Ovis aries: one gene and its partners. The protein of the gene in region 2 interacts with the protein of the main gene of each other region in a pairwise test. Links are inferred from orthologs where the notes say so. Each region holds a gene or a part of one and is shown on either strand. Other genes may lie near its edges. The genes, in order: CCDC136, PRPF31 and SSX2IP.

Region 1 (3,747 bases), on a different chromosome or scaffold from region 2:
TCAGATGCTAGGAGAAGGCAATGGCACCCCACTCCAGTACTCTTGCCTGGGAAATCCCATGGACACAGGAGCCTGGTGGGCTGTAGTCCATGGGGTTGCTAAGAGTCGGACACGACTGAGCAACTTCACTTTCACTCTTCACTTTCATGCATTGGAGAAGGAAATGGCAACCCACTCCAGTGTTCTTGCCTTGAGAATCCCAGGGACGGGGGAGCCTGGTGGGCTGCTGTCTATGGGGTCGCACAGTCGGACATGACTGAAGTGACTTAGCAGCCGCAGCAACAGCAGAGATATACAGAAGACCATGTTAACTCCCAGTCTTCAAGAAAATGGGCAGACAGAAAATTGAAAATCTGACCTTGACAACCCTGAGTGACTGGCAATGCCCTAGAGAGAAAGGAGGAGAGGGTGTGTATAATGGGGTGGGAGGGGGCATCAGGAAGGGCTGCCTAGGGATGACTCCCTGCTGAGTGTTGAAGGGTAAGTAGGGGATGTCCAGGTGAAGAAAGGTTCTCCCCTGAAGAATATGGAGGGCTCGTGAACCTGGGAGCCTGTGGCGGTGACAAAGACAATATATGCCAAAGACCTTGTGAGTGGATGGGTGAGAGAAAGGATTGGTGTGTGTCCCTGGCTTAGGAATCTCCCAGTGCTTTTCTGGATGTCCTGGGACGCCCCAGTTCTCAAGTGTACCCATATTTTTCCTAGCTAAGACCTTCAGAGATGTGAGAACAATTGTTTCTTCAAGACCTGGCCCCTGGTAGACGTTCCTTGAATGAATGATGAAGTTAAGTGAAATAAGCCCGCGTAAGTTTCACATCTCCCATTTTTAACTGTAAATCAGCAGTGCCCACCCTGAACAGGCTATGCGTGCATGATGAGTGGGGGTCATTCTCGCAGCCCACCGGGAGTAGGGCTCGTGGGAAGGCAAGCGGTGGAGAAAGGCGGCCTTCGGACACTAAGGACAGTGTAGGGCCACGGAGCCGCCCCTCCTAAGAGGGTCCCTGCTTCTGGCTTGGTGAGGGGCGCACGCACGGACAACAGAGGGATCAGGGCCCCGAGTTCACGTATCCTGGCCTCAGTTTCCCCGCTCCTGCCCTCACGCAGTTCTGGGGCGGGTGGCCGGGGTCCGCGCCGACTGCAGAGCTGGGGGGCGCGCCCTGCGCCATAGGGAGCCAGGGGAGTGGAAAAGCATCCGCGTGTTTGCAGGAAACAAGCCGGGAGGATCCGTCCATCCTTTTGGTTTTCCTGCCTCATCACCGAGCTAGACGGGATCCTGGCACACGGAGCAGAGGGGGTCTCCTCGCGCAGCCGACTCCTGGCTGCTCGCACTCTCCGCGCGGGTCTCCTCCCATCTCCCGCTCGCTCGGCCTCGGGGAACTCGGGAGCTGCGGCGGCCGACCGGCTTCCGGGCGGGCGGCGGCGGGGGCGGTGTCAGGTGGCCCGGCCAGGCCCCGCCCCCTCGGCCGGCCCGCCCTCCCTCCCCTGCGCACCCGGCTCCGGTACCCGGCCTCGCGGCGGCGGCGGCGGCGGCGGCGGCGGCGGCGGCGGCAGCGGCAGCGGCGGTGGCGAGAGCGGCCATGGAGGCGGGCGCCGGGGCCGGCGCGGGCGCCTCGGGCTGGAGCTGCCCGGGCCCAGGTCAGAGCGCCCCTCCTTCACCTCTCCACTGCCTCTCCTTCCTCTTCTCCATCTCTCCTCCCCCCAGACCCCCACGGCCTCTCCCCCCTCCGCTACTCCCCACCTTGACGGCCGAAGTCTTCCTCCTCCCTCCCTCCCGCCCCCCACCCGGGCCCGGTCTCCATCTTTCCCGGCTGGGTCTTCCCCACACCGGCCGCATCCTCCTTGGCATTCCCTGCCCTGAGCCTTCTCAATCTCGACTCTCCAGCCTCATACTGCTTCCAGCCCTAGGGGCTCTATAGATCCTGCACCCGCTCGCACCCCTAAAGCTTCTGAGCGCGGGGCGCGGGTGGGGTGGACGAAGTCTAGGGAGAGATGGAGGGGAGGGGAGGGGGTCCGGTCCACACGACCCCCGCCAGCCATCGCCGGCCCCCTCCCCACCTTCCCCTTAGGCGCACTACCTCACCCTTTCAGCCTCTTTACTTGCTCCCACCCTCTGCCATCCTTGTCCATCTTCCCCCTCTGTCCCCTCTGGGCTAAAGAGACACACACCCTTTCTACCTGTGCGAGGGAGAGGAGCCTGGAACAGAGGTTGCAGAGGAGGATGGGCAGGGCAGGGCGGGGTCCCCAGAGGCCCAGCCTAAGGGGCAGCTTGGGGAGAGGAGTCGCAGTGCCTGGCAGAGTGAGCCAAGTACTTCCACCGGGATAAAAACCCCCAGGGCTCCGAAGGGCTAGAAGGTGTGTCCCTTCCCCTCCCTGCCTCACCCCAGCCACCCTGGCACCCCACAATCCCTCTCTCTCCTTGCTCACAGGACCCACAGTGACCACTTTAGGCTCCTATGAGGTGTCGGAGGGTTGTGAGAGGAAGAAGGGCCAACGCTGGGGGTCTTTGGAACGGCGGGGGATGCAAGCTATGGAGGGTGAGTTTTCCTGTAAAGCTTTCTTTCCTTCTCCCTCACCCAATTTTCCTTCCTCCCTCTGACCCTCCAGAACTCTGAGCCAGGACACACACCTTCCCCCTAGTTCAGCTCAGCACCCGCTAGCCCTCCTCAGGGCTCAGGTTTTGAGGGAAGTTCAAGGTACATCCTTTTGGGGTTCTAATCACCAGCTAACCAGGTTGTGTGTCCCGAGGGAGCTGCCAGACAGAGAAAGAGGCCTCTTTGGACAGAGCTTTGAAGCAGCCTTTCAGCAGGGGGTTTGTTCTCTCTGCCTCCCGACCCAGATCCCAAGCTGTCTCTTATTTTGAAAAGCAGGGAAGTGAGCACGTGAACTGTCTTTCTGGTGCTGCCACCACTGACTTCAAATGGAAGCCTGGTGGCTTTGGTTCTCTAGGCTATCTTACTGCCTGAAAGAGGGAGCCTGGGAAGGGGGCTGCTGAAAAGGCCAACCTCCCAACACATGTGTATTCCCACAACACCCATGCGACTTGGCAGTTGTTGCCAACACCAGGAGGATGCTAGAAGGGTGCCAGTCCTGTTGCCAGGACTTCCCGTGAAGGGTCCCCAGGTCCCTGTGCACATCTAGTGTGGTCAATCTTGCCCCTTCCCCCCCCACCTCCACTGACCCCGGGGAGACAGATGATGCCAGGGGTCCCAGATGAATCTTAGGCTGTGGTTACTGGACAAAACCAGGCCAGAGACTCAGAATTTTAAAACAATTGCCATCCAGATAAGGTTTTGCTATTTAGAGAAACTGCATTGCAGTAAAGGAGGGGGTGCTTGCCAGCCAGAGACTGGGGACCAACACACCCCAGTTTCTTAACTCATTAAAATGGCAGGCTTTCTTTTACACACAAGTACAACCTATGACTTTCCCCTAAAAACTGCCTTGTGGTCAGCAGGGGAGGAAGTGAGACCCCCAGACACTCAGCAGGGAAAAGAAAAGTGGACTTGGTAGAAAATTTCAAAAAGTCTATTCAATGGAATATGTTTGGAAGGGCCCCAGTGTTTGTCCAGTAAATCCTTTAGATCATTTCATTCAGATGTTCTCTTTCTCTGCCTACTGACAGGCAACACTTTCATATAATGGAAAGGCTAGTTTCTCACAAGCCACCTGGATCGTTTGTAAACTTTGTACAAACCCCCAAACTGTAATTCTTGCCCTGTTTGGCTTAAAGACACACCCAGTGTCTGA
Region 2 (3,647 bases):
GGAACCCCAAGCCAGCCCATCGGCTCCGGCCTCCTTGCTCCTGCCCCCTTGCACCCGCCCGTGCGGGCCACCCTCTGGCTCCCAGCTCCCGACGCCTGCCGCCAGCAGTGACCCGGGGACCCGGGGGGCACTCACTGGGGGCAGGGACTGCACGATGTCGCTGTGGTAGATGTAGCCGGTGTGGGGCAGCACCGAGGTGGACGAGAAGCCCGACAGGGTCTTGCGCTGCGCCCCAAGCAGCATGATGTTGCAGGCAGGCATCTTGGAGAGGTTGGTCAGGCCGCCAGCCACCCCTGCAGCAGGAGGGGGCAGACATCAGCGAGGTGGCGGGGGGTGGTCCGCCGAGCGCTGCCCCTTCACAGGAGTTTCCAGCCGCAGGCCTGAGGGGGGCCCGCCAGGGAGCGTCAACATGTCCCATCTCGGGGGGGATTCAGAGGGGCTCCGAGAGGCAAAGGGACGTGCCGGAGGCTGCACAGTGAGCCCCTGGCCCACGAGAAACCTGACCCCTCGTCTGGGAAGCCACGTGGGCCTGCCTGTGCTTCAGGGGTTGGTCACCACACCAGCGGCCCGGGTGTGAGCCACCTCTGGGTTCCAAGAGCGTGTCTGCGGGTGCGGGCAACACCCTCCTGGTCTCCAGGGTGGAAACCAAGGCGCGTGACACGGTTTGCCCAAAGACGTGAGGTCAGAGGTGGCGGGGAGTGGGAGAAGCAGGAGTTCATCCTTCCTGCAACCCTGCACACCCCTGCCTCACGGGCAGAACTGTGTTCCCCACAGATTCACTCGCTGAAGTCCTAAGCCCCCACCATCTTAGAATCTGGAGACAGGGCCTTTGCAGGGGTGAGCCAGGTGAGACGACGCCCCCAGGCTGGACCCCCAACCAGGAGAACAGGTGCCCCGATGGGAGGGGAGACCGGGACCCGGGATGACCAGGAGAGGACCCGCGGGCAGGGGCCACCCCCCTGCGGAGAGGCCGCAGAGGCACCCCGCCCCCGACGCCCAGTGCCGCCCTATCCCGAGGACGGATCTCGCCCTCGAAGCCGCGCCTGCGGTGACTGACTCGCTCGCTGGTCTATCACACACGTGCCCGCAAGCGTTCCTCGGCTGAAGGGACCAGGTGCCTGGGGGAGGTGGCGGGGCGCGCCCCGAGGAGGAAGGGACTCACTCTTCCCCATCACGCTGCCAGGACGAGCGCCCCCATCTTGCGGGGAACCCTGGGGCGCAGAGAGCTGACCCATCACCAGGCGGCCCCGGGTCCCCGGCCTCCCCACCGGCCACGCCCCGCCGCCCCTGCAGCTGCCGGGCCCCAGCTCTGCCGGCCGCCACGCTGGTCCGCGATCTCCGGACAGACGAGCAGGTGGGTATGGGGGCCGCGTGCTGGGCCCCAGGACGTGCAGAACACGCCCCGATTCACAGGAAAGGGACAGGCCTCCGCGAAGCCACGGGCGCGGGGCCGGGCCTCACCCATGATCTTGGCGGCGGTGGAGGCCCCGATGATGATGGAGAGGTTGGGGGCGATGAAGGACATCCGCGACTCCACGTACTCGTAGATGCGGTGCTTGGAGGCGTTCAGCTCCAGCGCCATGTCGCAGGCCTCCTCCAGCCGCTCCAGCTCCTCCTCCGACAGCTGCTGTCTGCAGGCAGGGTGGGGACACAGCTGGGGCGGGGCACGGCGGGGGCGGACTGAACGACCCGTGCTGCCGCGGGTCCTGAGTGGTGAGGGGCCCCAACCTCCCCGCCATGTGCGCCTGCGTGCGCGTGCACCTTCGGGACGATTACTAGCTCCGCCAGCCCGCTGCCCGTGGTGGCGCGTCCTCGCCGCTTTCCCTTCTCTGCCCGGCCTGCAGCCGGGCTCTTTGCAGGTGTTCCATCTTTCTGAAACGCTCCCCCCAGCTCCCCAGACCTTGCAGGTCTCGGCCTTGCCAACCAGCGAGGCCGCCATCCAGCTGCTCCCACCAGCTGCCGTCGACCCTGCCCATTCACGGCTTGTCCAGTCAGAGCCCTGCTGTGGGGTGACACGCCTCTGCCCTTCTCGCAGGCCCACCACAGACGTTGAGGGGCAGGGGGAGACCCCGTGTGCCCCTCCTTAGGGGACGCCACTTCTAATTACAGGCCTGCCCTCCGCTGCACCCCTGAGGACCACAGGCTCTGGGAGGAGGCTGGCTTCCCAACGCCGGGGACCCGGGGCCCAGAGCCTGGCCTGCAGGAGGTGCTCGGCGAACACGTGGCAGCGCAGCAACCCGTCCTCCTGACACTACGCCCGTGCCGCGGGGCCCCACGACCGACGGCCGCCGGCTGGGCCCGCCGGGCACGCACCCCTGGGTGGTGGAGGCGGTGACGCTGACGACCATGATGGTGGCGTTGGTCAGGATCTGCTGCAGGTTCTCGTTGTTCTTGCATTTGTCCAGGCTGTTGCCCAGCTCCTGCGGGAGGGGGGGCATGAGGGGGATGAGGGGGATGAGGGGCATGAGGGGGATGAGGCGGAGGCCCGGGGACTCAGGAGGGTCTAGAACCTCTCCTGCAGGGACAGCGGCCGCCCCGTCTGCCCCCAGTTCCTACAAGCCCGAGGCTCAAAGCATCCGCAGTCTGCCCCGGGAGGGGGCTTGCCCAGAAGCAGACGGTCCACCTGCAGAGGACGGGCTGCCCCCACAGGCCTGCAGCCCGCGTCCACTCGCGGTGCAGGTCTGACCGCGTCTCCTCCCCACCCCCATCTGCTCGACTCTCCAGGAGCCTGGGTGCTGGGTGGTGTCCCGCCTTCACGTGCCTGCCCCTCCCGTGGGGCCTGCCCCTCCCGTGGGGCCTGCCCCTCAGACCCGGAGCCTCGGAGGCCAGATTGACCTGATGACCTCTTACACTCGCCTCCTCCCTCTCCCTGAACGCTCCAGGGCCTGTTGCCACCTCGGGGTCTTGGCTTCCCCCAATCTCTGCTCCCTGTTCCCATCCTGCCTCTGGCCCAGAGCTGAGTGACCCCCTGGAGGGTCCAAGAGCAGGGTGCTCTCAACAGGCGTGGTGGCTGGGGGCCCATCCTCTGTGCTCACCTTGACGGTGCGGATGTAGTCCAGGGCGTTGGGGACCAGGGACTCCAGCTCGGGGAATCGCTTTGAGTACTTATCCCGGATGAACTTATGGATGATGTCTGGGGGCACAGGGCGGGCAGGAGCCCGATGAGGGGCAGGCAGACACCGCTGGCTCCCCCAGCACCCATCTGCCCTTCGTCCTGCAGTGAGGGAGCCCCTTGTGGCAGCCGGGCTCACAGACACACAGCACAAAGGCTGCCCCTACTGCAGGGTGTGGCTGTGTGGATCAGTTCTGGTCCATAAGGCGTGAGGGCAAGTCACACAGGCAACTTCCAGGTCACTCTTTTAAGTGAAAAAATGTGCCCTCCTCCTCTCTCCTGATTGTTTTTGCTGATGGGGATGTGGAGGTGATGGCTGGAGGTGGGCAGTCACTTTGTACCATGAAACAGGCGACAAATCAGTGAGACACAGACAGCCTGGGCTCCTCATCCAGACTTTCCCACGGGAGGAAAATACACTTCCTTGTCACGTCACCCTTCTGTTCAGTAGCTGAACCTACGTCTGAGCTAATGCAGGGGCTTCGGGGCAGGGCCCTGGGAGACGCCAGCAGGGAAGGTGGCCTGGGATCCTGCC
Region 3 (3,543 bases), on a different chromosome or scaffold from region 2:
AAACTCTGCGTATAGATTTAGATACACATTCTAGTCGCAATTCACAAATGCAGGCAGCCCTCAGAGACGTTGCAGACTCAGCTCCAGACCACTGAGACAAAAGGGAATATCACAACAAAGCGTGCTACTTGAACTTGCCGGCTTCCCAGTGCATGTAAAAGTTGTGTTTGCACTGTATTGTTATCGATTGAGTGTGCAGTAGCAGTGTATTTAGAGAACAGTGTGCCTACCATAATTAAAAAATACTTCATCACTAGGAAACAACCCAAGATTGCCATAAACCCTCAGTTTGTAAAAAATACAATATCTGCAAAGTGTACAGTAAGTTGAAATGCAATAAAATGAAGTATGCTTATAATGCATTCTGTACCTAAAGGAGAATGTAGCCTAGTTGCCTCAATTATATTTATATATTTAGAATTTTTACTTTTTTACATAATTATTTTTAGTTATAACTCCTTGAAGACTGTGTTTAATGAAAAGGCCAACATTTAGTACCTACATTAAGGGTACTGTGTGAGATGCAGTGCCAGTATATGTAAAGCACTTAAAACAGTACTTGGCCCTTTGTAAACCTTCAGTAGCAGCATATAAAAATATATGTAAGCATAAATGGATTATAAAAATGCTTTTCTGTTTCTTGTATCCCAAGAGCTACACTGAACAGTATCAGTGGCATAGAAACAGAATTTTGGAGCTTAAGAAAATTTCGTTAAGCTATTCCCAGTTGCTGGCCTCTGAGGATAAAATAAGAGTCACGTGACTAGTTATCAAGCAAGAAGCTGTGCAGCTTGACATCGGCCTTGAAATTTTTAATTATTTGGTGTATTTGAATTCCTGATCTTCAAGCACTTTGGATCTGGGTTTGTAATAAGATTATGGCAAAATAATTAGGAGTATTTATGCCTAATTTCTATAGCACATCCTCATTCCTCCTTCACTGTAGAGTGGAATGTTACATATCAGCTGTAACTCACGTTACAGCAACGTAACGGCAAAGTAACTCACGTACTAAGTTATGTAGGAAACTTAGTTCACCATTGATCTAATCTCATCTGAGATGGCAGGGATTCTGAATCTGATTTATAAGCAAGTGCCTTTTTTTTTTTTTAAAGCAAATAAGTATAAAATTGTCAGTGTTTTTGGTTTAGAGTTTTAGAATTGGAGCACCTTAATTTTTTTAAGGATTGCCACATTATAAGGTTGAGTTATTAACCAAAGTCACATCAAAAAATGAATATTTAGGGAAAATAAGTTTTATGGAAAAAATTAAGCTATTTAGTTGATAAAAATGTATTGTTCATTGGCTCAGCCCATGATTTGCGAGTAGTCATTTAACTAAATTTCCTTGCTTTGAGGCTGGTTGCAGAGCATACCTCAGACAGTATCTCTGAAGTTAGGGGTCTGTATCAGTGTTCAGACACTTAAATTGTTGTTGTCTGACACTTAAAGTTAATTGAGCATCATCACACGTGCTTAGTGTGTGTTAACTCATTTAGTTTCCACCTCAAGCCTATGAGTTATGGGTTCTAATATTATTTCCACTTTACAGCTGAGGAAGCTGAAGAACAGCAGGGCTTAACTTGCCAGAAATGATGCACTAAGTGTCCAGCTGGGATGTGAACCTAAACCATCTGTTCGGGCCTAGACTCTTCACTACTTTGTAGGCCCTCATTAAATATCTGCATGGCTGAATGGATGGAGGATGCAAGCGTGCATGAACAAATCAATGAGTGAAGAAAGAAAGCATAAAAAGACTAGGACATTGTGGTATGGGAGACATTAGCTTTCAAAATTCACATGTTATCTGTCTGCCTTAGGCTCTGGTTGGGTAGCATCCTTCAGAGTAGACTGAACAGATAAATAAATAGATGGATAGATCAAAGTGATAAATTAGACTAGACCATGTTAAAGCACTTGTATGTTCTTGACCAGTGTGTCCTCAAAATTTTTGTTTAGCATGGGGCAAGGGAGAAATCAGATTTTAGACATTCAGGCATATCTAAGGTATGAAGGGAGGAGATAATAATTAAGATCTGCCTTTCTTTCCCCAGCAGTTCAATCAATGTACTGAATATCACCCCTGAAGAAACTAAGCCAAATCAGGTTGGAAGAGAATGTACAAATCAGAAGTGGAGCATGTCGTCAAGGCCTGGGTCACAGGAAGGTTGCTATAGTGGATGCTCCTTGGCCTACACAAATTCTCATGTAGAGAAGGATGACTTACCTTAGATATATGAACAGGGAGTTTTTTTTTTCATTAACATGGTCATCAGATTTCACATCTGAGTTGAAACAGGGCATGTTATAAAGTCAGTGATCTCTTAATAATTTAAGGTGGTCTGTGTTGTTTGTTTGGACTTCCCTGTTCCTCCCCAAAGAGCTAAAATGTTAAATCTATTTAAAAGGATATAAAAACTTTGGATATGTATTTTTAGTAACAGAAGCATCTGGTTCTGTGAATAAAGGAATGTATACATGTTTGGATGAAAACAAAGCACTAGAATGAGTTTCCTATTATAGATCTTAAAAATAGCACTTTTAGGAAACTGATTATTGTAAATGTTTAATTTTGTCTCATACATAGTTGGCATTGGAAGTTTAGCCTTTCCTTGAATGTATACTGTAGATTTTTAACAAAGCAAGTTCTATATTTATTATGTTTAATGTGATTTGAAATTCCCTCTTTCATATGTTTTAAATAAAGTGAAGTTTATGTATGTTTTGTACATAGATATACATGATTATGTTAAGAGGCTTTAAGATTTAAAGATTTTACACATCCATAATTATAGTATTTCATGCCGGTAAATTTTTATTAGTGATATTCTGTTACAGATGTATGAAAGCCATTGCAGCATTATGTTTAAGAAGTTTTTGAACCCATCTGAGCAATAAATACTCAAAAGCTATTCCATGAAGCCAAGTTCTTTAGATAATTAATATTACTAACATTCCATTTTTGAGATTTCTATAGCATTGGATTTTTTTAATATGAAGGATATTACAATTTTCAAAGGACTGTTGATTTTAGGGTAATAGAGGTAAGATGATTAGAGTACCTTTGGATAAAACAATTTAAGAGTATTGGCTTAGGATACTTCGATGTTAGAAGATACTGATATTTAAGATGTTTGGATGGTGATATTTTCTTTACCAGATGGGTACCCATACTGTAACGCCTGTACCAGCAAAGGCTTTGTATAGTTGCCAATAATTATTTAATAATTTTTCAATGAGATATTTAGTAATAAGGGAATCTGACAACATAAATTATCAGACTTTATAGTCCAGATACTATGATACTCTGGACAGACTTGTTTTATTTTCTGGACTAATTGCATGTTTCTTCATGGTTGTTGTTGTTGTTATTATTTATAGTAAGAATAATGTAAGTGTGGGCCCAAGCCCTTTCCAGGGTTTTCATCAGAAAGCTTTAAGTACCTAACCCTTATTTATCTCTGCATGTAGAAACCTACACATACCCAGTCCTTGCTGCAGGTATTGTAGTTGAGGCCCATCTGCCTTCCCATTTTCTAGTAG

The links.
Region 1: the proteins of PRPF31 (region 2) and CCDC136 interact in binary tests that used the Homo sapiens proteins (3 or more experiments, as listed by UniProt). The two-hybrid records come from large-scale screens. The link is inferred for Ovis aries from reciprocal best matches to the Homo sapiens genes PRPF31 and CCDC136.
Region 3: the proteins of PRPF31 (region 2) and SSX2IP interact in binary tests that used the Homo sapiens proteins (3 or more experiments, as listed by UniProt). The two-hybrid records come from large-scale screens. The link is inferred for Ovis aries from reciprocal best matches to the Homo sapiens genes PRPF31 and SSX2IP.

Annotation. Positions count from the first base shown.
Region 1 is NC_056057.1:94,459,270-94,463,016, forward strand, and holds the start of CCDC136 (coiled-coil domain-containing protein 136), read left to right. Parts: upstream 1-1,488; 5' UTR 1,489-1,577; coding exon 1,578-1,635; intron 1,636-2,426; coding exon 2,427-2,534; intron 2,535-3,747. UniProt on the Homo sapiens protein: May play a role in acrosome formation in spermatogenesis and in fertilization.
Region 2 is NC_056067.1:64,008,798-64,012,444, forward strand, and holds part of PRPF31 (U4/U6 small nuclear ribonucleoprotein Prp31), read right to left. Parts: intron 3,134-3,647; coding exon 3,036-3,133; intron 2,421-3,035; coding exon 2,314-2,420; intron 1,632-2,313; coding exon 1,462-1,631; intron 294-1,461; coding exon 136-293; intron 1-135. UniProt on the Homo sapiens protein: Involved in pre-mRNA splicing as component of the spliceosome. Required for the assembly of the U4/U5/U6 tri-snRNP complex, one of the building blocks of the spliceosome.
Region 3 is NC_056054.1:61,675,900-61,679,442, reverse strand, and holds the end of SSX2IP (afadin- and alpha-actinin-binding protein), read left to right. Parts: intron 1-1,552; coding exon of another isoform or gene 1,553-1,556; exon of another isoform or gene 1,557-2,054; coding exon 2,055-2,232; 3' UTR 2,233-2,912; downstream 2,913-3,543. UniProt on the Homo sapiens protein: Belongs to an adhesion system, which plays a role in the organization of homotypic, interneuronal and heterotypic cell-cell adherens junctions (AJs).